Linked DNA regions of Drosophila melanogaster. The protein of the gene in region 3 interacts with the protein of the main gene of each other region in a pairwise test. Each region holds a gene or a part of one and is shown on either strand. Other genes may lie near its edges.

The links.
Region 1: the proteins of vir-1 (region 3) and Fst interact in a two-hybrid assay, tested with the Drosophila melanogaster proteins (one large-scale study listed by BioGRID).
Region 2: the proteins of vir-1 (region 3) and Septin4 interact in a two-hybrid assay, tested with the Drosophila melanogaster proteins (one large-scale study listed by BioGRID).

Annotation. Positions count from the first base shown.
Region 1 is NT_033777.3:9,640,164-9,651,226, forward strand, and holds Fst (frost), read right to left. Parts: upstream 5,992-11,063; 5' UTR 5,965-5,991; coding exon 5,104-5,964; 3' UTR 4,815-5,103; downstream 1-4,814. Other genes in the region: Dh44 (diuretic hormone 44), read left to right, coding at 3,329-3,535, 6,856-6,978, 8,820-9,560.
Region 2 is NC_004354.4:16,690,353-16,701,415, reverse strand, and holds the start of Septin4 (septin 4), read left to right. Parts: upstream 1-6,242; 5' UTR 6,243-6,298; exon of another isoform or gene 6,299-6,802; intron 6,803-6,996; exon of another isoform or gene 6,997-7,044; 5' UTR 7,045-7,213; coding exon 7,214-7,373; intron 7,374-11,063. Other genes in the region: sphe (spheroide), read left to right, coding at 4-532; CG9676 (uncharacterized protein), read left to right, coding at 1,278-1,504, 1,560-2,088.
Region 3 is NT_033779.5:12,416,932-12,427,994, reverse strand, and holds the start of vir-1 (virus-induced RNA 1), read left to right. Parts: upstream 1-4,555; 5' UTR 4,556-4,672; intron 4,673-6,132; exon of another isoform or gene 6,133-6,165; 5' UTR 6,166-6,290; coding exon 6,291-6,354; intron 6,355-11,063. Other genes in the region: CG5446 (uncharacterized protein), read left to right, coding at 428-526, 608-769; Fam92, read right to left, coding at 1,659-1,934, 1,986-2,456, 2,512-2,652, 2,707-2,866, 2,918-3,057.

The DNA.
Region 1 (11,063 bases), on a different chromosome or scaffold from region 3:
AGGTCACCATCACCACTTCGAAACCAAGGGGCTTCGGGTCACCCACTGGCAACAATCCGTCAATTTCCTAATGCGTTCGCACACCCTGGTGATTTATTAGTGAGGATTGCAGACCGAAACGACGCGGTCTGACCCGCCTCATCTGATTCCGGAGCGATTTCCATCATCCTGGCAACATGCCGTACCCGCACGTTTTCATTCATAACTCGTCGCGTGGCTTCAGCACCTTCCTTTGCCTTCCGAGTTCTTCGGGCTCCCACATCCGTCGTCCTGTCGTCCTGACGCCTCGGACTTCGTGCTCGGATTTCGGATCCGGCACTTCGTGTGGGCGCCTCGTGGCGCCCAATATAAAAACACGCCGTAATCGCTATACTCCGTGAGTCCTCCGCTCGTCGTCAGCCTGTTGCGTTCGACCCTCGATTTCGATGCTGGGTGAAAATCCATCAGAGGAACCAAAGCCACAAGCTACAGCAACAGTTCAAGATTCCGAATCAGTTAACGTTTCGCGACGCGACGCGTGAATACATAAAATAAATTAGAAAAAAGATAAACAAGCCATAAAAGTAGGGGGGCTCTTTCCCAAAATAAGACAATTCGAAAACCCACGCGAAATATCCAGTATCTCGATCGTCATAAATCAATCCGTCGAGTGTGCATCCGAGTTCCGCAGATCCAGCGAAATTAGAGGCAATTACCACTGATAAGGTGATTTCTTCTTTTATGTGATAATTTTGGGAAAGAGTGCTGTTTCTATGTTTTTGAGTTTGGTGTTTAGTGTTTGGCTTTTTGGCGAAAACATATCAGATTTCGGGCGAAAACCTCAACGGAAATGTGGCGCAAATTGAATGGCCCAAAAGGTGGCGGCAAGCTTGATTGATGGCCCGAAGAACGTTTAGGCTAATTAGTTTTGCATTTTGTGTTCGGTTTCAGGTAACAACACACCGACGAAACCTAATAGACTGCAAACAAGCTTAGCGAAAGGTCGGCAATCACACCTGGTAATTTTCTTTGCTCCACCCCTGAGCTGCAGATTCCCAAATGATTGGCCTTTTGTGCTGATTTTTTTACGGCCTAATCAAATGGGATTTACGGCCTTTAAAGCGGCCAGAGCTGGAAAACTTTTCACATACTCGTATTTGCATACGCATGTAAATATCTCGAGTTGGTGGCATAGATAGCAGGGATTTCATTTCCTTGTGCCGCGGTCCGCCCTTTGAATTGCCGATAAAACAAGAAGGGACGTCCTGGCAAGTAGCCCTGGGCAATCACGATTTCCGTCTCCGAGTCCCAGAGTCGCCCAGTAAATGTATGACAATGGCTGTCAGGAGCACAATCCTCAGTGGGGCAGGGCAGTTTTATTGCCTTGAATTCCATATTACTTTCACAAAATCAATATTTGTTCAACTTCAAAAGTAAGAATGTAAGAAAATTCATTCATTATATCGGCTGGGGAATACTACTCACTCCCCTCGGGATCCCTATTTCAATTGGATTGCAATTTCCGTTGCAACTTCGATGGTTGTTACCAGGAATAGATTCATCACATCTCTCTCCAGCATTTAGGCGATCTATTAGGGGAAATCAATAGCCATCAATTGTCGTTTGCCGAAAGTGCCAGCAACCCACACACCCACGGATTTCCACCGGATTCAGATGCGGATTCGTAAATCCCCGTTCGCCGAATGGCATCCATATGACATGTGATTGCCGGCATGGACTAATGCGGCTGCCATTCGAGCACTTAGTTATCTGCGATGTCTAATGCTCCCGATGACAGGTGCTATATGAGCTGTATGTCCCGTTCCCCCTCACCGAAAACAAAGGAGCCGACTTAATTCCCAAAATGGGGAGGTTTTCATAGTGCAACTTTGAGTTGCTGATGAGTTGCCGAAAACTCATGTGTAAATTTCACTTGCACAGAGTTTGTAATGAAATTGGTTTCTTTTTAAAAATTGCCAATTTGTGTTTAACTTTAGAGCTGCCATCGCTCTTGGGATTATAAATTATTTAGGAATGTTAAACCTAATTTTGTGTAATGCAGAAATTTGAGTTATGGCAGTTCAAACTTTTACGTACGCACACACTAAATTGCAAGAAGTTTTCCTTGTTGTGGCAATTGTTACTTAATTTTGTTAGCTACACAAAGTTACTTGGATTAGGGAACTTTCATTTTGAGAACAATGGTTGCTTTACATTGCGTCGGTGTGGGAAAACCAAAGTGAAACTTTCAGTTGTTCTACGCAATTAAAAGTGACCTCATGAAAGGATTATGATGGAAAACCAGGGGAAAGAAAAATATGTTAAATAAATATGGGAGAAACTGAAAGGAGGACAAAAAAAAAAAAAACTCCTGAAAGCGCCAAAGGGTTTTCATTTAATTATGCATTTACACGGGTTTGTTTATAGATCAAAAGTAAAAAAAACGTTCGTTTATGTTGAATTAATTGGTGAATGCTCTTCCAGGGATTACTTTAGACTTTGAAAAATCACCTATTTGTCTGCGGCTAAGAAAATGAAACAATCTAATAGATACATGATACTCTAGTAGAGTATCTTCATGGGCTGTTATGTGCCTAAAGTATCTTTGAACTTTTTCTTTCCAAGTTAAGCACCTTTTCCTCTTTTTGGAAATAACTTTTCCCCTGGTAACTTTAGCTGTGCAACAGGAAAATAATCTAGTTGTGCTGCCGTTTACTCGTCGCCGTCTTCAATTTAGAACCTAATTTCCTCTGTGCACCTCGTGCAAATTGCCCCCGACTCCAGTTGCCAACTGATTGAAGAGTCCAGAGGGACATGGGATTGATATACATACATATGTAAATATATAGGTGCATACTCGGAAGTACATAAAGAACTACACTGCCACATTCAGAAGTACCACATATTTACGTGACCCATAAAATATGAGAGCACTTCTTGTTGTCAGAATATTTCGCATTTTTCACAGGTTAGCTGTCAGCATTTTATTTTCACTCTATTCCAGTGGGAAAACGGCGGAGGTCAAAGTTTGCACAAGACAGTGGCTCGGAAAATATTCAAAAAATAATAGCCACAGATGAGCTTAATTTTCCACGCAAATGAACAGATCAAATTTGCATAGCGTATGGTACTTTGCATACCCTATAACCTATAGTACTGTAAATAAATATGCATAGTTTTAGCAGAGTTGGTTGATATGATATATACACTAATACTCACGTTCTTCATTCATTTTGATAGATTTTTATTTATTTTTTTATGCTGAAACTGTTGGCGTTACATGCATATCTATGAATTGTGCACTGACCCATGCAACTGTGCGTTTTTTTTTCTCCTCCTTTTTTGCAGAATGATGAAAGCCACAGCGTGGTTTTGTCCGGTGTTATTAACTTTACTGTGTGCCACAAGGCTCGTCTGCACGGCCCAAAGAGGAGCAGTTGGAGCAGGAGGAGCTGCAGGAGGATCGGGAGCGGCAGCGGGTGGAGCGGAGGTCGGCGGAAGCGGCCGCACAAACGGATATCCTCTGGACTACCCGGATGGAACACGGAACTCACAGGTGGGCATGGGCATGGGCATGGGCATAGTCCTGGCCATTGGTGTGCATTTCTTTCTGGCTGTCTCCCTTTGTGAGTGAGTGACAGCAGTTTTTGCGTCACTTGTTTGAATGTTTTCCGAATGCATATTCAATTATTGGCTCGGCAGTTCGCAAACGGGCGATTTCATCGCTCCTTTGACAACCTTCATTGGTTCCATTCACTCGGTTCATAAATTGACACATTGTTCGCCACAATGCGTTAACTTTTACAAGAAGCCAGAAAATGTGACCGCAAAGGGTTCCGCACAACCCTTTAAAACCAAATAGATTGAAAAATATCTCATACGCAGTTTATTTAGCGCGGATATATTAAATTGCTAAAAGATTAAGCTCTTATCAAGAGTTATCCATACATGGGAAGTACATTAGGCATTTTATAGTAGTGGCAAATCTTCATTCTCCGATTTCCTCGAAATCAATACCACATTATTGGTACCTCGATCTGAATTTTGGCCACAATCTAATCTAGGCACTTGACCAATTCGAATACCTCAATGTAAAACTTCTTCGGTCGAACAAAAAGATCGTATAAATTCCCAAACGCACACGAACATGGCAACAAAATTGATTTGAGTCTATGGGTTTTTTATGTTTTAAAAAACAAATGGAAATTTACGTCAAGGAAGAAAAAAAGAAAACCAAACATGCTGTTTGTCTTGGCCAACTCCTGTTGTCCACAATCAAAAGTTTTACCACTGCTTTTTAAGAAGTTCGAATTTTGTTAAGTTGATTCTTTATTCTGTATTCTTTATTCGCTGGAATTGGAGTGCGAGGCAAGTTCGTTTGCCAAATTGGAGATTTAAGCACGTAAATGCGAAGGACACGTAAACAATTTAATTTTATTTACTGAAAGAAATGAAATGATGTTTTATGATGGGGGCAGAATTAAAAATACAACCCCGAGGCGACGTTAAAGGCCAATTACGAAATTTTCCATTTGTACCACCATAAATGACACATCGTTGGGCACAAACATATGTTCTTTCGAACAAATGGGCATGTGTACATACATATGTATGTTTCGATAAGGGTCGATTGGCCAACTAATCAGTCAAGTAGCGATTCATTGATTGATGTATGTACGTCAATCAATCAGTTTATCATCGGCTCGCAACGCTTAAAAAGCCAATGTTCATGGTTCGGAAAGCGAAAGTTCAATTAAGTGATAAGCATTATAATGCGTTTAGAACCTTAAAGTTTTGAGTAATGTCATATAAGTAAACGTGACTTGGGATTTTTTCATTTTTCGGTTGTTTTAATTGTTCAGATTGTTGGAGCTATAAAACTAAATGGCGAGTGCGTGACATAATAACACGATGTGGGTTCATGAGGCTTCAATCCTAACCCTAGAAATGGTTTTACGCTCTTCTGGGAGAACATGTTAATAATTTAGCTATAACAGTTTAATATTTGCACCATATTTCGTTTTATAACGCTTTGTTTAATAACCTTGTTACTCGGAAACGCCAAATTTTAAACGATTATTGAGAAAATGAACCAGAAACCTTGGTAACAATGAAACTAACTTCCTAGACCGCTGAAGAATCGATAGTGGATTCTTCCGGCGCCTCACTTGTGGATTCTTCGGGAGCCTCGGTCGTCGATTCTTCGGGTGCCTCACTTGTGGATTCTACAGGCGCCTCGGTTGTCGATTCTTCGGGCTCCTCTGTGGTGGATTCTTCGGGCGCCTCGCTGGAGGATTCTTCGGGAGCCTCGCTGGTGGATTCTTCAGGCTCCTCGGTGGTGGTTTCTTCCGGAGCCTGAGTGGTATCCTCAGAACCGCTACCATCCTCAGAGTCGGTGGTGCTTTCCTCCGGTGCCTGAGTGGTGGATTCCTCCGGAACTTCAGGGGCCAGGGTGGTGGTGTCCTCCGAGGAACCGCTGCCTTCTTCAGAGCCGGTGGTGATTTCCTCTGGTGCCTGACTGGTAGATTCTTCTGGAACCTCGGGTGCCAGAGTGGTCTCCTCCGCGGGACTGGTAACATCCGTGGTGGATACCACATCATCCTCGGTGGTCAACTCAGGCAGATCCGTTGGTGGTGGTGGAGGAGGGCGCTGTCCACCGTGGCCTTGACCATTACCATGACCATGACTGTTGCCATGATGACCATGATGGTTGTTTCCGTGTCCGTTTCCTTGGCCGAGGCCTTGATTGTTTCCGTGAGATTGTCCCTGACCATTTTCGCCATCCCACTGACCCTGACCGTTGCCATTTGGATTCCACTGATTTTGGCTATTCCACCTCTGTTCCTGCACGATTTCATCGTCACCGGAGCCCCAACCGAACCTCCTGGCCCAGTTGCTGCCAAAATTTCCGAACCAACCGCCATTGGGGCGGCCAGAAGCCACTGCCACCAAGGCAGTGAAGAGGATAAGAGTTAGGACCTTCATTTCGCTATTGTTTCGATTATACTACCGGGTTCTGCAGATGGACATAGCTTTTATAGAAAGCTGATAACCACTTCCATTCACTGCCAGACATTTCGACCTCACACTGCCACATTCTTATCTAATCGCAGGTAACCTGTCTGATAGTCAGACCAACAATAATCGTAATTATCATATTTATCTGAACATGAATTCGGATTGGTTGTTTACTGTTTGCCCTGAACTTAGGATACGTAAATACTTCTTGGAAGGAACACCAACAAATAAAAGATAATATTTAAATTTTTCCAAAGAAGCACCTGTCCAGACTCTGTATAAATTTCGGGTAATTTCTTTATGATCAAGCAAAATCCAAATCCCCTTTTTCATGTGGTGTAAAGAAATTGCGATATGCGTTGTTGGGCGGATCGTAAAGTGATAGTATCAGGTGTTTTTTAACCGCCCCCCCAAGGTAATTGTTTTTGAATTTTATTTTGTGGCTACGTGTGAGTCATGAATTAGCTTGAAGTTTTCACACTTATCAGTGAAGAGCTGTTATCACGAAATTCCCAATTGATCATCGTGGAAAAAACGTAGAACAACACACCGATAAGCTTGCAAGATTTTGTGTAACGATAATTTCCCGAATTGTGGGAAAAACAAAAGGTGATATAAAAAATATGCGATAGCCGAGGCCCTTAAGATTGCTCACCATCGATGCTAATAATAATTTTAATTTCCATCAACAAACAAAACAAAAAAAGAATAAACTTCGAGCACAGAACTGTATATAAACACAGGGACTTAAAACTTTTTGCATTACCTCGTCAGGATTTTATTATGCCATGCGCTGGGAAACTTCTTCCAGCCAAACAGCGAATCTAACGTACTAAATATGTATGTATTTCGTTCTAGGATGACTTTCTGCTGGCCAAGAGGAACAAACCATCGCTGTCCATTGTCAATCCGCTGGATGTGCTGCGCCAGCGTCTGCTCCTGGAAATCGCACGCAGGCAAATGAAGGAGAACTCCCGCCAGGTCAGTCTCGTGTTCTGCAATATTAAACGGGGATGGCTGACCACTTGGCCAAGTATTTTTAATAAGCTGCAAAGGAGGGTAAAACAAAACTTTGGCTTCGTATGGCCCAGACAAACGGAGAACAATGCCGCGTCTTAAGGGGAATGAAAGTAGGTCGCGTTGCAAGGTATAAATGAAAATGTAGCGGGCTAATCAAAACTAGAATGCCTGATGAGAAATACTTTTCGAAAGCCATAAAAACGCATAAAACGCAGGTGCAGAAAGTTTTTTAATTCATCGCAGCTAGCGAATCTAATAAATTTCCAAAGGACCCAAATGGTAAGACTCTGTGCAGCCCACACACCTACTTGCTCCTGGAATGTAAACAACATCCTGGCGAACCCGAAATCGAGGCTTAAGCACATCGGATGGCCCTGACACCCAAAAATATACATACGTATATGCATGCGGCTCAGTGCCAAAAACAAAGCCAACATGGCGTATGTGTAACGCAAATATTTTTGCTCGGTAACAAAGCGAGTTTATTTGGTTACCAAAACGTTCCGATCCCCCAAAGGCGCACACACAAAGACAAAAAGGCCAACGAAAATGTTAAAAACAAAAAAAATCAAACGTTTTAATACGAGGAATTCAAACGATTTGCCTTGATAGCTTCACCTTTCCTCCCACGAATTTCCGTTAAAGAGGGTCATGTTCATCCATGGATGTGCCTATCCGCATGCCCACCTACCTATTCACATACGCCAGATAACATTATTGATTTGTCAAAGGGGTTTCATAAATTAATCCATGCATCCCGAAAGCAATCCGAATCGGAGAAAGATGAGCTTCAGCAGGCATAATGTTTTCGGAAAACACCTGGGTTAGACTGGCAAATAAAAGGGAAATAAAATGGAGTGAAATTAAAGTGAAATTTCAAAGAAACAAAATGAGGTTTTCAACGGCAAGCTGTCAAATTTAATACCACACAATTAAAGGAAAGTTACATTTAGAAACGTGTATTTAAAAGTTAGGATGGAGCTAGATATCTGAAATAGCATTCACCACTTGAATTTGAATGCAAACAAAATGAATCGACATACTTATTCACAGCTTAAAGGAATAGATCACGTTTCGGTTTGTGCACTATTCCCAGCAGATGAAAATAGACTTTCACATGGCCAAAAATATAAAGGGAAAAATGCAATGTCACCCGAACTTACGAGTTAGACATTGAATCCCCAGCTCAATGCAAACACCTGACTCTTTAAAAGACCTGCAAAGTGGTTGGCAAACAGAAAGAAATTTAAATAAATATCCAAAGCACTAGAAGAATGGAATTTCCAAGGTGTGAAAACTGCAAGTTGGCATTTACACTTAAATTGGATTTAAGCTAAACCGAGTATTAAGTTAAAAGATAGGAAAAGGTATAAATACATTTCCAACGATTAATCATCTTGGCTTTAAATATTAAAGTATGTTTTATACAAGCACCTGAGACTTAAAGTAACTATAAAGTAATTAGGCAAAGTATCTGGTGGCTTTTCAGTTTAGCAACTAAAGCTGCTCCTAAAGTATCTTAAAGTGCTTAAAATGTAATCGTGCCACATACCTCATCCTCGATTAATGTAATAACGCACTGGCATTTGATTTGTGATCCAAATTGAATGTGGTCATCCATCATGCATGTCAATCTAGTTTAGCTTTCCCTTTGCCGGGAAAAGTACATGGAAAATCCATGGGGATAAGGGAGAACCGGGCTTACCCCACTTCCATTTCAATTTGTCAACCATTTTACAGCAGTTAACAGCATTTTACTTTACTTAACTTTATGTGAACCGTGTTACCTTTCTTGTGTCCAGGTCGAACTGAATCGCGCCATCCTGAAGAACGTGGGCAAGAGGGTCGTGCTGCGAGGAGGAGGAGGAGGCGGAGGATCGGGAGCAGGAGGATTGGCTCCCAAGGTGAGCAGGCGCTACCGCCAGCAGTGGCCAGTGGAGCGGGAACTGGAGCGGGAAAGGCAGAGGGAGAGGGAAAGGGAAAGGGATGCAGTTCGTGAGGAGCAGCTGGACCGTCAACAGCTGCTGCCGTGGAAGCATTTCCCCAGCCAACTGTGGAGCTACGGATGGGCCCTGTCGCCGTACAAGGAGTCGTCACAGTTACAGTTTGCGGACTCCCAGCAATCAGCATCGACTGGACCACAATCCCAGGCACTCCCAAAGCAGTTGCAGTTGCTCAGCTATGCGAAGAAACCACTGGACGTGGCCGGAATGAGTCTGGCCAGGCATCGGGTCAGCGGAAATGAAGCCAACGAAACGAATCATGAGAACGACGATGGCAATGGGGCCAGTAAAAACCCGGCGAGATATGTGGATGACGGCGACAATGAGGGCGAGGATAGCTACAATGACGTGGGAACAGAAGGTGTGGGACTCGGCCTGGGAATGGGTGTGGGATTGGGTCTGGAACGGTTCGAGGTGCTGGAGGACAAGCCCAACTGGGCCAATGAGGAACCAAACGAGTTGGTGGTGGTTAATGCAAATGACCGCGTGCCCTGGTCCTTTCCCTACCGCTTTCACAAAAGTCAGCATAACGTTAATTAAGTAAGTAGGGATTGAGATGCAAACACAGATATACAGATACGATAAAGATACAGATACAGATACAGATGCATATGCAGTTACAGATATATGTAATACCGACACAGATACCGATACCGATACCGAAACGGATACGATGCGATAGGGGCACCCAACGGCTTCTGAGTGCTGGAAGGTTATTAATGCAAATCGACGGTTCCTAATGGCTGGCTACAAGGCAGGCATGTTGTGTGTGCACATACTCCCTTGATGACAAACTTACTCCCACGTTGCTAGATGTACTCGCATTTGAACTCTATTTTATCGAAAATAACCAACGGTGTATGTAACGATTTATGCTACCTCTCTCACAGATACTGTTGAAAATAAAGTCCCCGATTAATGTGAAACATACATAGATACCCATGCTAACGTGCATACTACTAGATACTTTACTCTAGATCGAAATGGCCGAAACTTTAGCCAATACACCAATGCTGCTAAGGATTATAAACGTAATTGCATGTATGCGTAATTGATAGTGATCTATGTGTAATTTAAAAAATTGTTTTAACGCTCGACGTTAATTAATCAATCGCATGCAATATTGACTAGTCAAATGGGATTTTCACGTTTTTATCCACATAAGCAAAACTTGTTTACCAACTATTAATTGTGGCTTACATTCTCCGCGGGCGGAAATCGGTTTTTATGTTCATTACGTTTGCTTCGTTGTGCTTTAACTTGTGCAAAACAAAACAAAAAAATGCTCAAATAGAATTAACATAGTGCCGAAAGTACTGTTCACACACTCTTTTCGTTAAAGCTGCATTTGGTCACTATTGAATTTGCGCTGTTGAAGGGTTCAAGTTTAAAGCTATCAGGCGACAAATGGTTCCAAATCATACGAGTAACGAGTAACGAATTACAAATTACGAATAACTAATAACAAATTGCAAATAACGATTTTAACGTAGATCAAAATCAGAAATATTACCCAAGCAAGTACTTCGATACATGAATACGCCACGTGTTGTGTAAATTAACAAGGAATTTACCGAGCAAATTAACCATTTAAACGTTACGTTCTGTACATTAATAAATTTAATACGAATTGATTGCCCTACGTGTATGTAAATAAAAGTCCTTTTTCAAAAAAGCTAAACTAATGAAATTGCAAAAAAAAAAAACAAAAAATATAAGAAAATTATATACTATACAAAATTATACGTATGTACGGATATACTTATTTAAAAAATAAAATCATGAGGCATTGACATGACATTCAATTACAAAACATTTCGTTTAATTAACTTAACTAAGCACCGACCCAATTCCCCAGATAGGCAATCATAATACTGCGGTAATTGTTTTGGCATTCTAAAGTAAGGTGCTTTTAACCCACCTTAAATCGATATTTGGCATTTTCCATAGTTCGCTTCAATTACAGGGTATGCACGTACTCAATCGTAAATCCCGAAACATTGGCTATACACTTGTGTACCTAAGGCTTTATTAAACACTGCG
Region 2 (11,063 bases), on a different chromosome or scaffold from region 3:
CAGAATCGATGCCAGTCGCCTGGCGTGCCGCGTGGGCAGTACCAACCAGTATGCTGGTGGCAAGATTGTCAACGTGGAATCGGTTGCAGTGCATCCGGACTACTATAATCTGAACAACAACCTGGCCGTGATCACGCTGAGCTCTGAGCTGACCTACACCGATCGGATCACTGCCATCCCGCTGGTCGCCAGCGGAGAGGCACTGCCCGCCGAGGGATCGGAGGTGATCGTGGCCGGCTGGGGACGCACCAGCGACGGCACCAACTCCTACAAGATCCGTCAGATATCGCTAAAGGTGGCCCCGGAGGCGACCTGCCTGGATGCGTACAGCGATCACGACGAGCAGAGCTTCTGCCTCGCCCACGAGCTGAAGGAGGGCACCTGCCACGGAGACGGAGGCGGTGGTGCCATCTATGGCAACACGTTGATCGGGCTGACCAACTTTGTGGTGGGCGCCTGTGGCTCCCGCTATCCGGATGTCTTTGTCCGACTCTCCAGCTACGCGGATTGGATCCAGGAGCAGATCGCCTAGATCCGTTTCATCCCGTTTTTCCTTCACAAGCTAACAAAATAGAAACTATTTTCCCAAACTCAAAGCGGGCAAAATGACTCAATAGTTTGATTTTGATAAGGATAAGGATCGGTGATTGCCACTGGACTTGTGGTTAACGTAATAATCGCTAACTAAGCATGCTTATTTATTGTATTTATGACCTCAATGGCATGGCTTTTATAGCCCAGAACTCGAGTCATCGATAAAGCATTCCGGTTTTAGGGTCAATTTAGGCAAGCTTTACGTAATTTGGGCCTACAATTAGTTATATAAGGAAACTTGAAGACTTTTCAAAATCCAAAACCAAACCTTTTTTTTAAATGCCTTCTTTTGCTGTTCGAAACTGAAGAGATCTGCACTTTAAGATCTAATAATTATAATAAATGTGCAATAATTATGCAATAGGAAACTTTCGGCAAATTTCGTTTAAACATTTTCGTGCTTCCTTAACCCTTTTCGTCCAACTTTGACCTCCAAACTCTTACCACCGTGCGTTGCACACCCCTTGTAATTAGAGGGGCTTCATTTGCGAACGAAATGGGGTAACTAAACTAAATTAGGCAGCAGCTCGATAGCGACATTGACTTTGACATTTTAAGGAACTAATGATGATGAGCGTCTTAGATTTGGGTAGTATATATGCATACATATACATATATATATATATACATCCAGTGAAACTTGCAGTGAGCACTGCTTTTCAGTTAGCTAAGCCCAACCAGTCATGTTACCATTCTGGACATCTCTACTCGTCCTTTGCGCAGCCGGAGTCCTGGCACAAAACGATTCCGTAGTGGAGCCCCGCATTGTGGGCGGCACCAAGGCGAGGGAGGGTCAGTTTCCTCACCAGATCTCACTACGTCGACGTGGAAGCCACACTTGTGGTGGCTCCATAATCTCCAAGGACTACGTTGTCACCGCCGCCCATTGCGTTAAGCAAGGCAACAATGTGTAGGTATTGAATCTTCGGGATTTCGCGTTTCTCAATCAGAGTGCTTGCCCTTAGAGCTCCAGCTAATGAGCTGGAGATTCAGGCGGGCAGCCTGCTCCTTTCCAGCGGAGGAGTTCGCGTTCCAGTGGCCACCGTCACCGTGCATCCCAATTACAACTCCAATGGCCACGATGTCGCCGTGCTGCGACTTCGCAACTCGCTGACCTTTAACTCCAACATAGCCGCCATCAAGCTGGCCACCGAAGATCCGCCCAACGATGCCACCGTGGACATCTCCGGCTGGGGCGCCATCTCCCAGCGCGGACCGATCTCCAACTCCCTGCTCTACGTGCAGGTGAAGGCCCTATCCCGGGAATCTTGCCAGAAGACGTACTTACGCCAGCTGCCGGAAACCACGATGTGCCTGCTGCATCCCAAGGATAAGGGTGCCTGCTACGGGGATTCCGGTGGTCCGGCCACCTACCAGGGCAAACTGGTCGGCTTGGCCAGTTTCGTCATCGGTGGCTGCGGACGAGCTGCGCCCGATGGCTACGAAAGGGTCTCCAAACTGAGGAATTGGATCGCCGAGAAGGCCAGTTTGTAAAAACAAAAAAAAAACGAGGTCCGGAAATCACGCAAAGATATCACGGAAAATTCCCATGGAAAAACGGTTTTCTATTTAACTTATATATATTATTTCACATTATTTTTAGCAACATAGCAGATTACTATGTTGTAAAACGCACTTCAATAATAAATATAAAATATTATCAGCACAGCAAAGGAATTTCAAAGTCTATTCTATAAAATAACAACCCTTTTTCCTTTTATATGCCAATAAAAGAATTAAATATTAGTTTAAGATTCAACTTCAAAGTTACTGACCCCAATTGTAAATATCTATATTATGATATTATGCTTTTGTATCATTTTTGTGCGATTTAAATCCATATGGTAGGTAGTTGATCTAATGAGGTATGTAGTTGATCCCCCTTTTTTTTTGGGGTCATCTCTACATGACTCATTTGCGAGCCAGCGGATTGTGACCGCTTTTTAGAACCCACTTGGTGGATTGGTGACTTGGTGGCTTCCCATTTTGGCCGCTTGGCAATTTATCAGAGCGCAACTTTTCCCCGCTTTTTCCCGCTTTTCCCCGCTTTTCCCCGCATTTCCCCGCCGGCCAGTGAAAGTGAAAATGAAAATCAGCTCCGAAACTCACCCAACTCTTTCTATTATTGCTCGGTAATTTTCCGCTTTTTTTCGGTTTTCGGTTTTCAGTTTTCAGCTTTGCTGACTTCTTTTTTTTTCCATGCACTCGGCGTTTAATGACTTTGTTTTGCTTTTCATTTAACTGGTCTCGCACTTTTTATTTACTTTTCCACAGTTTCCACAGCCTCAGTTTTCCACCGCCTCTTTGTTTTCCTTCGCTCTCTTTTCGGGGCGCAATTATCGGATCGCTGGGGATCGTGGCGTGCCTCCATGGGTTTCGGTATCCCAATGTAATACCCCACGTAAACCTGGCACGATTTGTTCAGTTTGTCCAACCGGCTGGCTGTCAATCTGCCGCACCATCAATCAGTCCATCAATCTGTCAGTCAATGCAATTCACGGACAAAGTCATCGAACCTTTTGAAGTTGAAGAACTCCATGATCTACGATCTTGGCGGTGATTCGGGGGATTGGCTCATTTGTGGTTATAACAATTGCATTTAAATAATAAACTGCATTTGCATTTAAAGCATTGCATTTCTTCGAAATATTATTGTATTTTCAGGGGCTGACTTTTTGGAGAGCTATTGCAATATATCTGCTTAAGATATGATCGCTAATGTAATATATCACATAATAACTTCGTTTTTTTTTTTTTTTTGTTTACTAAACGTAACTTTTATTCGCTAAGTTAAAAAGTATCTGCCCACCAAAGTATTTGTCCAATGCCCAATTGGCATTTATGCCCAGATTTGTCTCAGTGTGGTTCAAACCTGATAAGAAATCGCCGAGTTTATCATCTCCCCACCGCCGGAGTGGCTCAATTTCACCAGCTCCACTTTGGTGCCAGTTCCAAGAAGCCATCCACTTCGCATTGCCCACTTGCACTGGCCAGTTCGAAATCCACTGGAGACGCGAGAGAAACATTCAAAAGTCGAGACATGTCGTGGCGGCAAACAAATTTCTTCTTATTTTGGGCTTCAATTTTGATTAGCATGGAAAGTCAGTGTAAGTGGCTTTTAATGGTCAGAGCGATGGCAAAGCCGATCGGCGGGTTAATGGTAACGGGTTTGCCCGAATCCGGGCGTGGAGAAACACTCATGACTCTTTGCAGTCCGAAGACAGAAAACTAAAGACAGCAGACAGAAGAAGACAGCAGGCAGAAGAAGGCAGCAGACAGAAGACGGGGGATTCAAGAGTTGCGAGTGGAGAGCAGGTTGGAGGGGGGAAAGGAGCGGGAGCGGTCTTAGCAGTGGAGCAGGCCAGTTAACCCACTAACCTTGTTAGCTTAAAAGTGGGCAGCCACTGGTTAAAGGCGCTCACCACCACTGTCAAGTTCAATGCTAAAAGCCTGCCGAAAAGGGGCAGCACACACCTACGGCCAAGCAAATAGTGACAGTCCAATTTAAATTGCAGATATAAAGAAGAACAATTTAAATGTTATGAAATATATACATTTGTTACATTATTATACTATTCAATGAATTCTAATACTGTTGAGCTAAGTATTACAGTTTGAAATTATTATTTCAAAAAAATCTTGCTTCGAGGACTAACCGCTTTGCTAAATTTAGAATATAAATGTAAAATCCTTATCACTTTGCGTGCATATAGAATTTCAGCGATTATCAGTGATGCATTTTAATGACTAGTGTATGATGAATTGAGAACATTGTGAGAGTATGCCTGGATATGTACATACATATGTATGTTGTACCACATGCCCCATCATCATGCCCCCTGCTGTGCGGAAAAAGTAGGCGGGGAGGCCAGTGGGCGTGGCGGGGCCTGAGGTCATGCGATGGCCTTCGAAGGAGGCGACATGCGCAGTGGGTTAGTGAGCCATTTGGCTGCTGGATTGCGGGGCTGTGGAGTGGGAGGTGTTTATATAACAACAATGCTAGTGCAGGCCCGCCGACATTCGCCTGCAATGTGACCTTCACCTTGGCAGTGGCCGCAAGGCCGCGCCTGCACCACCCACCCAATTTCCACACCACCAGACCAGCCCATGTCCGCCCAATCCAGCCCATTCTGGTAAGGCCCCCTGGCCTTGATCTTAAACTTTCCCACGAGAAACAGACAGGTATTCGGTATTCACCTGATTTCTTGCTGCTGCCTTTGGATTTCCAGTTTTCTGCTCGACAGCAATTTCTATTATTATTCTTGCAGCTGCCGTTGATGTTGTTGTTGTTGTTGTTGTTCTCGTTGTTCTTCGCACCTTTTTTTCTGCAATGGGAAATTTGCATAAAATATTCAATCAACTTTCATTGTTCCAGGCGGCTGCCATTGCCGGGCTTCAATTTCGAGCACATAAAAAAAATGCAAACAAACAGAAAGCAAAACAAAGTTCTCCCTCTTTTTTTGGGTAGTTTCTCTTTGAGCCTACGCGATTAAACAAATTAGCACTGAAAACTTGTTGAAACAAATATGCCGCGAGCTTGACAAATTGACAAAGGAAGATTTACGCGTTTCAATGGATTCTTCTTTTCATCTCATCGAGCTTACACTTTCCCAAAAAACCAGAATGAAATCGCAGAGAGAGCGAGTTTTCGAAAACGCGTCCGATTGCCAGCGCCGTTTAAGTTCGACTGAGTTTGTGGCGCGTTGTTCGTGTGCTACGGAGGCCAGAAATCAGAAATCCAGCCGCCAATGCTGCGACCTCCAATCGGGCTGAAAAAGGGTTTTAGTCACGAAAGTTTTTCTTGAAACAATTAATCATTTATATCACTGATTAAAATTATTTTTTTTGTAATTTTTTCCTTAGTTTTTGAATTTTTAAAAGCAATTTTCTTGAAAAGCCTTTTAACCTTTTGGTTTTCAAGACATTCTGCTTTTGCCAGCCTGCACATTTTGAGCACCCGCTGCAATTTTACAGCTGCCAGCTTGTGTCAGTGTGCACAATTGGAGAGACTAAGTTTGCGTATTCAGTATTTTTTAGGTATATTGTAAACTACTTTTACAATATTGTTTAGAAACAAACTCTCTCATTTTCCTAGTTTCTATTCGGTCTACAATACAATTTCTTTAAAAAACAACATTAATACAATTACGATATCTGACCGGAACGGTGGAATATCGAACATGGGGCAGTTTTTTATTTATATATTCTTTTGTTATTTATAGGTGAATTCTAAACAATATAAATGCAAAAAATGTTAAAAAAAAAAAGATCTAACTATCTATGTTCGACCTAAGTTTAGAGAAAAATCGACTCCCCACTCTTTGGGGTATATCTCCACTCGTAGGACATTTCTTTAAGGACATTTCAGGAAAAATGTAGTTGCCATAAAAAATGTTTACCTAGTTTTTGAGATAATGGCACTCATATCATTATTATTATGGACTCATATTAAATACCATTCTTATTTTTAACAAATTTTATTCTTGTTCAAATGTACTTTTAGAGGCTCAAGTTTGAATAAAGTTGTTGAAGTGAAATGGCGCAAAGTAAGACCCTTTCATCCAGCAGTATTATTTGTTCGGTATTTTTGCTGGTATTTTCGGTTCGAATGTTTTTGGAAATGGAAAAGCAGAGCAGAGCTAAATTGCAATCAGATCTCGACGCGACGGCGGTGAAGAAGCATCAGTAAAAGCGCGCGGAAAGTGTATGTTTCAAAACTCCGCTCAGAAAACCATATTTGTTATTGTAAATAATATTCCCTTAGAAGTTTGGAATATTTCCCGCGACAATTTTTTTTTCGGTGAAATTTCATACCGTTTTGCCACAAAAAAAAAAGAGGAAACCAAAACAACGGAAATAGTTAATAACAAAGTGCGTGAGCCTTTTTTTTATTATTATTTTTCGTGTGTGTAAGAGCGGTGATTTGGCGCTGTGTGTGTGTGTGTGAGTGTATTGTGCATCTCACTGTTACTTGTGGTCGTGTAGGTCAAGGTGAAGCAGCTGCACCGTTAGTTTTCCACCCATTGACTATGCAGTTTTCAATCGCAAATGCATTTGATATTATGCATATGTGTGTGCAGAAACCCTAAAAAGTCAATATTGCAGTTAGTAGCTCTCTTTCGCACTGCCCACCCTGCCTGCCTCCCAACCACCCTCCCTCCCGCTCGCACCTCATCGAGTGAGATAAGCACTAGATAAGCATGTGTACGTAAGTTACTGTTAAGCTTAACCCTTAGTGAACAACAAACTTGCACGCAAATGAAATGTGAGGTTTAAAAATATATAGAACACAATTAAACAAAAATATGAAACAGTAATTAAAGTGTGGGAGTTAATCCCCCCAAAAATCGCAACTATAACCGATTAATATGCGCTAATAAAACTAAATATATATATTTTCAGTACTTACCTATGTTATAAATTAGTTGCCCATTTTATATTAACTTTTAGTGTCAATTTAATGTGGCAGCACTAGCAGCTGGCAACGTGCAGCAGTAACAACAAAAACATAAAACAACACCGGATTGTGCAACCTGCAACTTGCAACACAAGCGGCAAAACGGCGTTTCTACCGCAGCGTCGCCTCTTCGGCGGCGGCAATGTGCCCCCCTCGGCGACCATGAAGCATCAGCCGCCGCCCCCGCCACTCCCGCTCAGCCAACCGCCCACGATGGGCGCTACAGCGGCGGGGGGCGTGGCCAGCGTCATAAGCACGATGAACGGCAGCAGCAGCAGTGGCATTGAGGCGGTTAAATGCCGACCACCCATTTACCCCAAACGTAAGTAAAAGCCTCTTTCCATGCTGCACACAAATTTGTAAAAAAAAAAAAAAAAAAAAAAATCAGAAAAGAAGCAGACGAAAACATCAAGGGGTTGATGAAGCAGTTTACAAAGGGGTTCACCGTTGTATTGTATTGTATTGGTATTGGCACTACTTACTTCTAATGCGTAAAACGCATTCCCAGAAAACTCTGGTATTCTCATAATTTGACTGAAAAAAGACAATACTGAACACAGTAAAATTCCTGGAAATATGAACGTAATGAAATGATGTAATGTTTGTGAGATTTTCGAAATCATCAATCAACGAAAGATAAAACAGATCACCACCATTTTCGCTCGGTTAAGCTTTTATTTGGAATTATTAATTAATTTCTTAGTAACTCATATCTATGATGCATAGCTAAACGAAGCCTACATCATAACATGGCTCAAGTTATCATACCAAATTGATAACGAGAACGACCTTTAAAGATAAGCGGTTGATTAGCTACAGGCCCAGTTAACCGAATGACATTAGTTTAAAGAATGTTAGGAATATTATAATATTAACATTTAGGCACAACTCCACATCTTGGCTTACAGTGCATTTGGGTTCCCTTTTTTCCACGGGCCAATTGCATTTGGCTGGATCGATCTTATCTGGTATTTGGCATTCGGTATCTGGTAACTGGGATCTGGAATATGGGATCTCGATAGGCTGCCCCATTACGTGGGGCCCACTTCGCTGCTTTTCCGCCGACAAGAAAATTGACTGGCCACCGTAACTACGTATGTATATGTACAAATATATATGTATGTATATATGTACATACTGTATGTATTTTCCGATGGTTTTGGTTTCGGTTTTGGAGGAAAGTCGACGGCGGCGGCTTCCTTTCCTTTTTGCCCACTTCACTTTGTTTTGGCTTCGCTTTCGCCTTGGATTTTTTTCATCAACTTTTTCTTGGCTTTTCGACTGGGGAGTTTGGACTGAGTTGGTTGTTGGTTGCGACTGCCGTATTTGGTAGGCGTAGACTGTGTTTTTATTTTATTATTATTTTTTTTTTTTTTTTTGCCCCATGTTTTCTATTTTGTTCCTACTTCTCAGCTTGTGTAGTGTGGCCGCACCCAAAACCACCCAGCACAATCCCAATTGCAGATCGGTCTGGGCCTTGGGTCTTTGGCTCTTTGGTCTTGGCCATTTGGCTACTTGGCATTGGCCTTAACTTGGTAACTTGGTTACTTCGGTGGGCAACGTGACCGCAGCTAACGGTTCTCCTGGTTGACATGTCGTTAGTGGCCGATGAACATTTGTGTCGCCGATATCGGGCTACGGCCCTCCTAACTTGGCCGAACGACCTATTGGAATCTATGTTTACTATGCTACACCGCAAGAAAACGAGGTCAATTATAAGCTTTTCAATTGTATTTGATGTCTATCTCAATAACTTCTCAATGGTCATATTTTTGATTAAAATTAAAAGAACACAGTAACGTCTTAAAGTAAAAGATTACATTGATCCCAAGATGTTATCATCATACTTATTATTATATTATTAATCACTTATGTTCTAAGACATTTATGACTCAGTAAGATTTGTTAATATCCATTAAATTCAATTGGAATATATTCCCAGCCGGTTCATATGGAGTGTAATATTTTTATATGCATTTATTAATCGATTCACAATTTGGTGAGCAATAGTTTTTCTCACTTCATTCAGCTAGCAATGACTAGCAAACACATGTTTACATACAGACATCTAGAATAAAACGTGATAAGATAAACGCAATATTTATAAATTTTCACTGAGCTCACCTCAACTGGTGTTTTATTTTGTTAGTGGATTATACAGTGTTTACTAGCCAATTATAGCAAGTAAGCCAGTTTGAAAATATTGGCATATTATGGATATATAATGGATACAATCAAATACAGTGTTAAGTCAGTCAACTCTCCCCAAATGGCGTTCAATTAGTTGCATTGGGAAAAATCACGCTCATCGATTGTCTAAGTTTAGTCATCCATTTCCATTTCCATTTGCTATTTCCATGGTGCATTCCTTTCGCATTCCAAGTTTTCCAAGTTGCAGTTCCAATTTTTATTATGGAAGGCTTTCGTTGGTTAGTTCCAATTAAAAATGCCGCAGCCTAGCGTTTAAAAACTCATTAGGAGCCAACTTCATTGTTATGGCAAATGAATACACATCTATGTACATACATACATATCTACCGCAATTGTGGTTGTCGTTCCCTTTGCCCGATGTCAGCGATATGTTCTACTATATGTTTTCTCTCACTCATTGTTCGCATGATGTGGGGGCGTTTATGTGCAGTTGTACAGCAGCGGTCAAGAAAGTAGCAAGTAGTCAAGTAGTAGAATTCAAATGAATGTATAATGGTTTTGGTTTATCTTTTATTTGCACTGAAGTTTTTGATTACTATTCACTTCTCAGCAATACCGACTCTACTTTTCTGACCTCGTCTGTGCGCAGTGCACAGTGGGAGTGGAATTTTCATGGCAATTAGGGAAATCAGTGCATAAAGCTGTCAAATTCCCCATTTACTGAAAAGGGGTTAAGTGTCTGATGTTTTCGGCTATGCATGTATTATTAATAGAATGCGTAAATCTAGACAGGGTGCATTTGGGCCTACATATCAGCAGAGAAGTGTTGGGATGTCAGATCAATTTCAGAGATCAAAGTTTTAGACTGACATCGACTAACAACAATTGCGGTTGAAGTAATAATAACATATACACATATGTAGTTATTTAAAACATCTTGTCTAGTCTGCCTAATCGAATGCAAGTTGTGTAAAGCTAAATTTACAGATTTTGAAAATCTGATCGATTAAACGATCAAAAACAGATGGATGTGTATATGTTGAAATCTGAATTGATAATACTTTTGATTCCCCATTGGTTCTTATTTACCCCTGTAAAGATACGAATTTGTATGGCTATTTTCTGAATTTTGGATCGGGTTTAAAGATAAACAATTTTCTGTGTGTGGAAACCGAAGAAGTTCGAAATCGTAACGAATGGAAAATGCTTCTTTGGATGCGTGAAATTCCCTTGAAGATGCCCTGTGAAAAGTTGTTTTGGGGCAGGGGTAGACAAGGGTGGTGGGGAAATGGATGTGGAATGGGAGGCGGTAAACCTGGCCAGCTACTTCAAATGCCGTCAATTGTTTTCAAAAGTTTTCAGCGTGTCAAGAGCAGAGATGCGGCTATTTATGGAACAGTGCAACACGGCACCAACGAATGCCCTTGGATGTGTGGACAGGCGTACAGTGGAGCCTGGCCAAGACGATCCAGGGAGTTGATAGGGTGGGAAAGAATATGCAAACAGTTTCAGGCGTTACTAATATAAATTAGATGCTCTAAACAGTGATTTTTAAATATCTCAACGAAAGTGTAAGATATTTTCGATTAGGTAAGAAGCTTGGCTATAGATATTGGTCATATTGGAACCACTGCCACTATGGCTCCTGTCCGCTTGCCTTTGTTTGCCCAACCAAATGCCTGTGATTCTGGTCTGTGAAAATGGCTGAAAAGTGAGCGGCAAAGAAACCCAATGCCGATGCACGTTCGATGGCTGCATCGAGCGAGAGTCACTCCAAGCCCCCAAAGACCCAGAAGTCCCCCAGGTCCCCCAAGTCTCCGCCTCCAGATTCCCATTTCTTCGTCTGGGCACTCGTGCGTTT
Region 3 (11,063 bases):
GCTTTAAAACTAAAAATATACACAAATTTGTTGTTTTTTATATGAAATACGAAATAAACATTACAGAATTATATTTAAGTTTAATTTAGTTTCAAAATTTACAATTTGGGTATATTCTCTGTAATAATACATCCCATAAAATGATGTTGAATAAAAATGGTTCTTAATATTTATTTGAATTATTTAAAGATTAAAATAAATTAAAATAATAAATTGACATTAAATATGACTGGAAAATAAAACTTGAAGCTAGCTACTTTGCCACCACCAGGATTATCGAAAGGACTATCGAACCAAAGTCCGCCCCTATGCTTGATAAAGAAATTAATTTGCAGAAGTGAAACAGCCGCAGCCGCAAACAGAAGCAAAAGAGCTAGAAGTGATAGCATTTTTGTACTTTTATACAGTGCCACAAAGAAGCCACAGAATGACCGATCTGCGCAACGAGATGGACAGCGATCTGGACCAGAACTACTCCCTGAACAGCAATGCGGACCCCAAAAACATGCAGGAGCTGACCATATACGTGAGTAATGCCCGAACCGGGAACCACCCAGTAAATAGAGACACCAAATGAGCACCCAGTAAACCTGCCTCCTGTTATCAGGTACAAAATCTGTTGCAGAACGTTCAGGACAAGTTCCAGACGATGTCGGACCAGATAATAACGCGCATCGATGACATGGGCAACCGCATCGACGATCTGGAGAAGAGCATTGCGGATCTGATGAACCAGGCCGGGATCGAGGGTCAGGGACCGGAGAAATGAGATCCGTAGCGCTGGCACGGCCACGCCCATTCGGAAAGTGCATCCCAATACCATTAGATACATACATCGAACACCTGGCACCCAGTCACCCGTATCAAGTTTACAATTCCAGGTTCTCACATTCATTTAATCTCCTCCGCACCCAGCTGCTCCCCAAGAAATGAAGAAAAGAACACATTTGCTCATCCATTTATTGCTTAGTTTTAAGTTTCGCCCGGTCGGGGCACATCATAATTTAAGTAAAGTAATTCTTTTGTGAGCAATGGCCAATAATTTTGAATTATTGCCGTTTAGTTTCTATTTATAAATTAAAAATTCAAGAATTGTAAATTCCCTGCTATTTGGGTGTTCAGGACTTCGATTTAACAACGGTTACCAGGCGACCAGTTCCCGATTTGTGTTTCCTCACCTGAAAGTTTATTGCGAAAAGGGGAAGAGAAGCGCGTCATTTCCGCTTGATTAGTTATGATATGCATATATTTAGTATTGTTTATCTGGGACAAATAATGCAAATCGTGACCCGTGTCCATTAATAAAAAGTGTATGGAAATCAGCGCTGAATGGCAAGGAGTGCTATATAACAATCCCTACTTTTAAAAGGAAAATCAACATTGATTTGTGGACCAGAATGATTTTCGAATATTAATTGCAATTTGTGTTGCTTCTACATATCATGTTTTTTAAGGCAATGAGATAGAGAGTGGTAATACATTCTGATTAAATTATGAAAGGAAGCTCTGAGACTGCGGGGTTACAAAAACCAATTAAGATAAACCCTTAGAAGTATGTTCCTAATTCAATTTTATTTAAGCTCTTGCTACGATTCCAGAATGTGCCTGCAATACTGATGTGAGCTCTAGGAACTCTACTACTGGTCATAATTTGAGTGCTAGTGCTGGGGCACGTGGAACTGCTTCTGCAGCCTTACATGGGTGGAGGCCACCGCCTTGAATGGATGTTTGACCGTTTGTCTGCTGGGCTTCGAAGGAGCAGAAGTGGCACTGGCACTGGTCGATGGCGTGGCTATATCCTTGCTGGCAGATCGGATCTTGGCCCCAAAAACATTCTCCCGCGGAGGAACCTGGTTGCCCGGCTGCGTGGGTTCCCTCTCGTCATCCGTTGCCGTTCCAGATTCCTCGTCCTCTTCGCCACTTTGCTCGGTTTCCTTGGGAGGAATGGAGTTATTCTATCATTCCATAATCATGCCAAATCATACCTCATCTTCATCATCTTCCTCTTCATCCTGCTCGTCGGTTTCATCTTCGGGTTCTGTTTTACTTCCATGATTGATTCCGGCTCCCGTCAGATTCCTATTGCTCCTGGACAACTTCGGGCGCCTCTTGAGCGGACTGACCAGGTGCTCGTGCTCCAAGCTATCCATCGACTGGGAGCGCAGTCCCTTTTTGAGTGCAGTTTTCCTGGAAGCCAGCTCTTCTTTGGTCTTCATGAGTTTCTGAAACTCAATGAAATCGTCGCGCTCATCAATGGTTCCAATATCATAGTAGCTTGCGCTGAGTATCTCCAATGCCTTGGTGTGCTGTTTCATGGCGATCAGTATAAAATCGCTGATTATCTGCTTTAAGTCGCGCAACTTCCGCTGCTCGAAGTTGCCAATAATGTCGTCTATCTCCTTGTTTGTGCGCTGCACCTCCATTTTGGCCTTAAACAGCTCCGAATCGGCGGCACTCTACGGTAAGTTTTGGGAATTATATAAGAAGTAAATTGTTCGTTTTAATACCCACATTGTTCGCAGAAAACTTTGACTTGAGCTCAAGCATCTGGCGCTGACGTAGTACCTCCTTATCCCGCGCTATGACAGCCAGTCGAAGATTGTCCCTTGTGGACTTGCAAAGCTGCTCGAATTGCGCCAACTCGTTGACAATCTACATAAGTCAATAATATGATATAAGATGCAGATTTAAAAAAGGATAATTCACCTTGTGTTCCAATCGGTGTACATTGATGTCCATGTAATCACCCATTATGGTAACCGCGTTGGTGAAGCTCTTCAGTCCCTGACAGAGACTCTCGTTGATTTCCTCGTCGTCGGCGTAGCTCTTCACACTCTTGGCCAACTCATCAAAGGAGTCCCGATATCTGCAAGGTCTTATGATTATTCATTCAGATTTATTTATTTACCAAACTCACTTGGCCATTTTCCGCGTTACCAAAGCAAACGAAGAGCACATCTCCATTAGATGCCTTTCTGTTATGTTTATGCGCTCGTTTATTATTTTAACACGGTCATCTTTGGTGTTTAGAAAGGATAGTTTTCCACGACGAAACATTATTATTTTATTTTAGTCCCTTATATTTGTTTTCCTTCTTTATTTATTTTATTTCGACAATAAAATCAAGTGAAAACCGTTACCAAGGCAACGTCTAAATTCATCTGGCAACTCTCGTTCGAACAGCCAGCATATTTCCAGCTCTGTAAAATTAACAGAAATGTTAAGAACCTACTGCTGCCAGGTGGCGCTAGTATCAGCGTCTTCTGCAAGTACATAGATGGCGCAAGAATAAAGTTTATCAAGGAAATTTAAAACATTCTAAAAATATTCAATCCTAAAATAAATATCTGAATATGGGTACTTCATTTTTTTCCAACAGTGTCAAGGTCAAGAGCACGTTTCGTTATAATCTGTGAGTGTTTCTGTCTGTCATCCGGTGTCTAAATTTAAATTCGAAAGATTTATGACTAATTAAGAGACTGCAAATGATAAAGAAAAATATATATAATTAGTATATATAAAAAAATAGAAAATATACTACGATATTTACCTGAAGATCATAGCATTGTAAATAGTTTATTTAAAAACAAGTCAATCTGATATTTTAAAATATCGTTGGTCCTAAAAGCCAAGCTTTACTCACTTAAATATATGTAGGACTAAGCTGACTCAAATTCTTCTCACTTCGAAGCCTTGACAACCAAATCTTGTTTTTTGGGGAATTTATTGACTCGACCGCAAGAATGTTGTGTCAACGATTAACCGAAAATGGTAATTTATTTTAAATGCTCCTCTGCCACTTAAAGGCATAGTGCAATCAAACCTGTATTTAGTAAAACGAAAATAGCAGTTCGAATAAAACCAACGAAAGTGTAGTTAAAACAGAATCCGGTTCGTGGGACCACGACAAGAATTACAAGTTGTAGAGCATGAAGAGCAGCCTGCAGGAGATTTTAACAGCTGTAGCTGCGCCGATCGCGATTTCAATCTGGTCGAAAACCATAAAGCAACACGGCTCCCAAGAGGCAAGTTCAGGTAAAAGGGGGCAGGTGGACTTCATTGTCAATCCAAGAACGTAGCTTGGCGCGCGTTCCTTGTCGCTAACTATATCCCCGCCTCTTTCTCGGCGCTGTCGGCCATCCGCTTTGAATTTCTGATTTTTATACATACACCTCGAACTCCAACGGTTTTGGTCAAGGGACTGCACTGGAGGACATTCGCGTTCCGCTGGCGACATTCATTTTTGCTCCCACTGACGTGTCAATGAATATTCTTTTTGTAAAATTTCTGCTACTTTTTGGGTAAACAGGATGGGGCATCTTTGGTAGTGGATCTGTTGTAAAAATATAAAATTGAAAGTTCTTTAGTTATTTTTCTTTTTTTTTTTTAATTAAAACATTGTTGAATGCACATTTGGAGCACTCGGAAGACCCTTCTTCGCTCTCGTATTCTTCTCTGCGCATTCCTCCCTTTCCCGGTCTCTCTTCTCAATTCTTTGTTTTTTTTTGAGTGCCAACGACGTGAGCTGGTATAAATGAAGCCAAAATCGTACGCAACCGTTTAGTCCGAAACGTTTCATTAAAGCCAACGCACGTTGAAGATCGCGCGTTCTTCTCCGATCTTTCGAAATCGAGTGATTCAAGCGATCCACAGAAATAACTGTATGACACCGGTAACAATAATAAAATTTATGCAAATTCGCGGTTGTCGGCATGTGTATGTGAATGAAATTGTGTGCGTGAACAATTTCCGCTTCGGCGCTGACAAAAATGTTTACAAACAAACAATTTGCAGCTTGTTTAGGCTGTCTGGGCAATAATTTGGATGCCTAATTTACTTCACGCAGCTGTTTGCGAAATATTTACTTGTGCTCACTTTTATGCTGAGCCCAACATAAACAATAGCTTTCTAAAACTATCAGACATTAAAAATGCTATTTAAAGTTTATAGTTGCTAATTTTGAAGACCTTGAAAAATTTACTGTCGGGCAAGATATTTAAATAATTTTCTGATGTGCAAAAATTCCAGTTCATTTTGAGATTATAATACATTCTAGATTTAAATCAGTGTATAATTATACAAATTCTTTACGGCTTTTTATATTTATCAGAACTGTAATTGGGTGTTATATCGTAAGTTCTCTCGGGTCAAAAAGATCATTCATAATCGGATTAACTAAAGATTTCCAATAAATTGCCGATCTTTGGCATATTCGTTAGTAAAATCGTGATTAAACCCGGCTCAATCAAGGCGTGACTACTTTATCGATGGAATTAAAAAGAAGCACTCTATCATAACCATTTAATTACTGAGAATAGTCTTTAGCTCCGTTTTCATTTCCTTGGAAGAAAATTCTCAATAGCTGCCCATTAGGGAAATAAGCAAATGATGCTTTTGTTTACAGAAACAACAACCTTGAACTAAACACCAAGCGCATTTAACAGGTGATTCGAGCAGCCGTTGAATAGACATAGTTCCATACAATGCAATCGAAGTGGAATTGAAATACGAATGGGGCGACTGAAACATTCAGCAACTGTGACAGGGACACATTTAAAGTCTGAAATACAAATATAGTGGAATAGAGAAGCCCGCGTGCAGCTAACGAAGCATAGACAAAAACTGATTAAGTAAATTGAAAACACAACTAAATTTACAAAAGGTTCAATGAGCAACGGCGACTTTCAAACACCCTTTTAATCGAAATTTTAAAATATTAGTAGCAAATGCCCTTTTAGAACTGCTTTTATATATATATAATTATAAAGATAAAGTTATATTATATTATATTTTTTATAGTAGTAGATACAATAGTTAATGAACCAGTAAGCTATAACGGAAACAAAAAGGTGTAACGAAAATAAAAGTTAACTTAAATGTGCCTAAGAACATTACTAATACGCTGCATTCTGTACACAGTGGAGTCCCCAAATATTGTACCCAGTTGACGGGCACAGTGTAGCGCTCTTCCCACAACACTTGCCGCCTGCCATTTGGAATATTTATAAGCCCAGCGGCTAATTGAGTGAGAGGGAGAGCAAGAGAGCGGTCAGCTAGTCACTCACTCGGTTTCTCACTCGCTCACTCACTCAGCCGGCCGCCGTTTATTTGCCGCTTCCTCAAATCATTTAAGCGCATTTGACGATTGTTTGTCTTTCCGCACAGAACAAAACTGAACAGAATCGAATCCGGTTGCCGGTCCACATCAACGCATCAAAGCTTTCAGCCCTAAATAAACTATACAAATTAAACAAATTATAAGCTTGTGAAAAAAAAAAAACCAAACAAAAATGAAGCTCTTGTTCGGTTTGCTGATGACCGTGCTAGCCCTTAGCGGCGTTTTCACATTGCCAGGTAAGTGAAAGGCTTAAAAGCAATCCAATCATGATGCACTTCATAAATTAACATTTAAATGATTAATACTTGAAAACTAAATGTTAACTTGCCCTAAGTAATACGTATAACGGAACTAACTAATATGCAATTTGTACACATATGCAACATACATATTTGTTTTCCTTCTCTTTACTTTCTCATTTTTATGTGCACATAATTAGTTATTAAAAAACACAGTCAACCTTTTGACTTTAAAAACAAAGAAAATTGATAAGCACCGGGAATTCTGATTTGCACTCTTCTACGTAGTACGTTCCTCTTATACCTTCTTGATCTGGAATATTCTGGTAGAATCTTAAAGATTACCTCGATGTAATTGTGACTTGGAGCAATATAAATAAATTATTATGCATATAATACGTAATTATTAGTAAATACAATCTGTTGGATATGAAAAAATGTTTTAATTCCACTCTGCAGCAGATTAAAGTTTAAAGTCGCTGCCTTTGCCGGATAATGATGTCAGCATGCTGATAACAAAGCGTGGCACTTGACAATCAGCCAAATGCATCTTACAGATACAACACAAGTAACTACAAATGGCAAAATATCAGGAATGCTCGGCGCAGCATCGCAGATCCAGCGTCCTTTATTGTCATCATCAGCGTTTGCTGTTCGCTGCCTTTGGCTGCCACTTGAATGCATAAATTGCTGAAGAAGCTGCCAGCGAATCGCAGATACCCCCACAGATGGGCGGAATGGTGGGAGTGGGCGTGGCAGCGGGTTGGCAGCTGCCACAGCCACTTGAAGTTGTCAAATTCGTTGCTGTCCAAATCATTTGCCAGGAATATACAAATTTTATGCAACACTCGTGAATCACAATTTTTCGGCAAATCTTGCTTGAGAATCATCTTAGCAATGAGTGCTTGAAATTGCAATGAAATATTTCGTAAATTGATGAGACAATGTTTTTTATTACATATTTCAAAATACACATAGTAGCTACTCTAACTACTGTGCATATAAGTCAGATTAGTACTGTTTAAACATTTGTTTTCTCTATTTAATTATTAATGATTTGCGATCTGAACATGCTGAGAATAGAATCATATCCAATTAAAATAATTTACGTAACCAATTAAATCACGATAATTGTGGATATACTGGATTTATCTGCAGGCTAATCTATTCTGGATTATATATTTCAAATTTAAATTAATATTGTTACATTCTTCAACAAACTCGGAATCGGTTGAATGAACTGTCATATTATACACTCAAGTCATCCCAATTTCTCTGGCTGATTGCAAGTGAAATTCTTGAGCACTTTTCTTCGCTTGTTTTGTTTTCTTATTTTTCTTAATTTGGTTTTTTATGAGATCGCTTCATGTCAGTGTCCCATGGCCAAAAGAATTGGGTTAATTGTGGCCATAATTCGCTTTTAAGAACTTTTTCCAGGGAATGTCTTTCTCTGCCCCAGAACAAATTGCAATTGCATGTTCACATAAATCACTTTTTTTTTTCCTTTTTCGAATTTCTGCTGCTCGTACGTGGAACTATGTGTGGAGTAATAAAACTCAAAACAATTATGAAAATTATTGGTGAATTATTACATGTATTTTTCATTGTTGGCATTTGCCGCTGAATAGACGGGCAATTTGTTTAATTTAGACGGATATTTTGTTATGCAAATTGAAGTTAATTTTCGAGCCCATACAAATGTTTTGGTTAAATTGTATGATATATAGTGAGATAATTAACATTTTGTGTCTGGCCTAAATCAGTTGCAATTGTTATGAAGTGGAAATACTCACAGTTTTTTTATGGGGCAATAAGCTGGTTATGAAAAATTGGTGGTCATTTAATTGAAGATTAATTCAAGTCTTATTTCTGAATATGTAAGAACACTATCTAATTGACAATTCAATTAAAACTAAACTAAACGTTGATAACACAGATACATTTAAAGTTTTATCTGTTCTTCCTAGAAATCTAAGCCGACTGCTTAATTTGCGAATTTAACAGCCAAGTCAGAAAATGCATATTAAATTAAAGCATTGAAAACAAAGCCAATTGAATGAACAAATCATTTAAGTAGAAAACACTTTTGCGAACTAAATAAAATGCGTACATTTTGGGGTTTTAATTTAAAGTGACTTAACCTATTGCCTTGGAATTTTGGACTTTTGCGGTAAAAGAAAACAAATAAATTGAACTTTGTTCATATGAATTGTAAATTGAATTGAAAACAACAACGCCGACTGGCTACATATAAATTAAAATAAAATGTTTCCTCATTTTTTTGTTTTGTTTTTGGAATTTGAGCTGGCAAATGTAATTCGTTTATTGTGCCAAGGAGTTTTATTATTGGCCTTGTCACTTTGGCTTTACATTAATTCGTAGAAAATGAAATCAACAGCTTGGCACTTTTTGTTGGGTTTTTAGGTTTTACCGCAACGTCTATTGGCTTGTGTTAAATTAAACAATTAAATTAAATTCAAAGGAAGTGATAACTTTAGTTGGCTCTATATGAATTTCAAAAGATGCTGCAATTTTAAGAGGCAGTGAAACTTGTTATTTTTTTTAGCGCAACAAGTGTTTAGTTTGCAGTCCAATGATTAATCACTTTCAATTGAAACCCATACAATTTTAGACGAAAACTTTATCGTTGTATCGTGATTGCTATTTTTAATGGGTGAAAAAGTACACGAGAATGTGTTTGTTTTCCTGGCTTTGGTAATTGTAAGCCAGCTGAACGAAATGAAATTCGCGTTCGAAAATGAGGCGAATATTTACAAAGTTTAAAGCGGCTTATGAATAATACTTTATATTCCAAACTAGCCAGGTAGCGTACATTAAAAATGCATTATATTCATTTGAATCTGCGCATTTCTCATCTCAACAAGTGTATAGAAACTAGAAGCTTACGGCAAACATGAGTCATCATTGGGCAGTTGTAAAAACAAACGAATAGTTTAATTAAGCATTTTTTTGTTGCTGCTTTGTAAGTATTTGCCTAATCAACAATGAAATGCCAACAACACGACCGTGAGACAATAGATCAGCCGACTGGCCAGAGACTCTGGACTCTCAATGGATCGCCGGCTAAATTGCAATTGTCAGATGTCACGAAGGGATTAAGTGCAGCCCCCCCCCCCCTACCCCTTTCGTCCGCGTCCCTGTCCAATTAGACGGTGACTCGAACTCTCGTCGTCTGTGATTGAGAACTACTGCAACGGCAGACTAGAAACCATCAGAATCAGCCACTTTGGCTCTGGTTCAATGTCACGTAATCGCCGCAGGGCCTCCCTGGAGGGTTATAACCCCCCCCCCCACTAACCCACTCTGCCACGCCCCCAGGCCCCTTTCACCTCGCAGTTTGCCGCCTCTTTATGTTAATTTATGTGCTGGCAAAATGTGCAAGCGCCTCTAATGCTCAGCCACGCATGGCGCAAACCCGAAATCAGAAATAAATTACAGAAGGCAGTCGCCGGAGAAGCAGAGGCAGTTGCTCATAGTCAGCACAAACTGGGGGGAATTAACACGGAGCAATCGCACCAAGAAGGTTATGCGGAGCGGAGTGTCAGTAATCTTGAAATCAATTCAAAATCTAATTAGCTGCATTCGGTTTTATCAATAAAAGATCTTAAGATCACTTATCACGCTTGAAGGTATAAGTTTTCCTAATTATAAAGGAGATCCTGAAATCTACGAATTCACGAGTTAGGAGCAATCGCACCAAGAAGGTTATGCGGAGCGGAGTGTCAGTAATCTTGAAATCAATTCAAAATCTAATTAGCTGCATTCGGTTTTATCAATAAAAGATCTTAAGATCACTTATCACGCTTGAAGGTATAAGTTTTCCTAATTATAAAGGAGATCCTGAAATCTACGAATTCACGAGTTAGGCCCGAGTGTAAACATCGTGATGTACAGGAATAATTGTATATTATAATGAAATCCCGCACATTACTCAAATACTCGGCAGGCAGTTGCAATGTCAACGCAATGCAGCTTTAAACGATTTGCGAAAGGGGATTTGCGGATGGTGAATTAGGATTGCATGCATATAGCAAGGCCAGGGGGGGGGGGGTGGGTGCTGTGGATTGGCAGTGGGAACGGGATCGGATTCACAGACCCGTCAGCAGCTGCTACCATATGTGTGTCCTTTTGGCATGGCTGTGAATTTAATGAGATTCCTGTCAAATTAATTTCCGGTTATGATTAGATTTTCGTTAATAGCAATTTGCGGTTTTTGCAGGCACCCCAAAAATATGCGAACCTCAAATTTCATAGCGCCCATGCCATCGCCATCGAAGTTCTCCATCATTTATCCTTTCGATTTGATTTGGCATTCACATGCAACATTGCAACCATGCAACATTTGCAATGATTGCAGAAAGTGTCGGCAGCAATTATCTGTCCAACAAATTGTGCTCATCATCGTTCTGAGTCCCCTGAATCTGCTGCACAATTGATTAACATTAAGTAGTTTAGTAATCGTAAATCATGTTCAGGGGCTGCACCCACAAATCCATTGCTGCCAGTGGAATTTATGAAAATTTTGCATACTCGTATCTGGCCAAGAAACCGAGAAATCATTTGGATGGATGCCAAATTGAGGCTTTTGTGGAATGGTTTCGAAGTTATTCGAGCATATCAATTGAAGCTTACTTCAGATTCTCAGAAGACATTACACCAAGTTGCTTAGTTTTTTGATCCTTTTG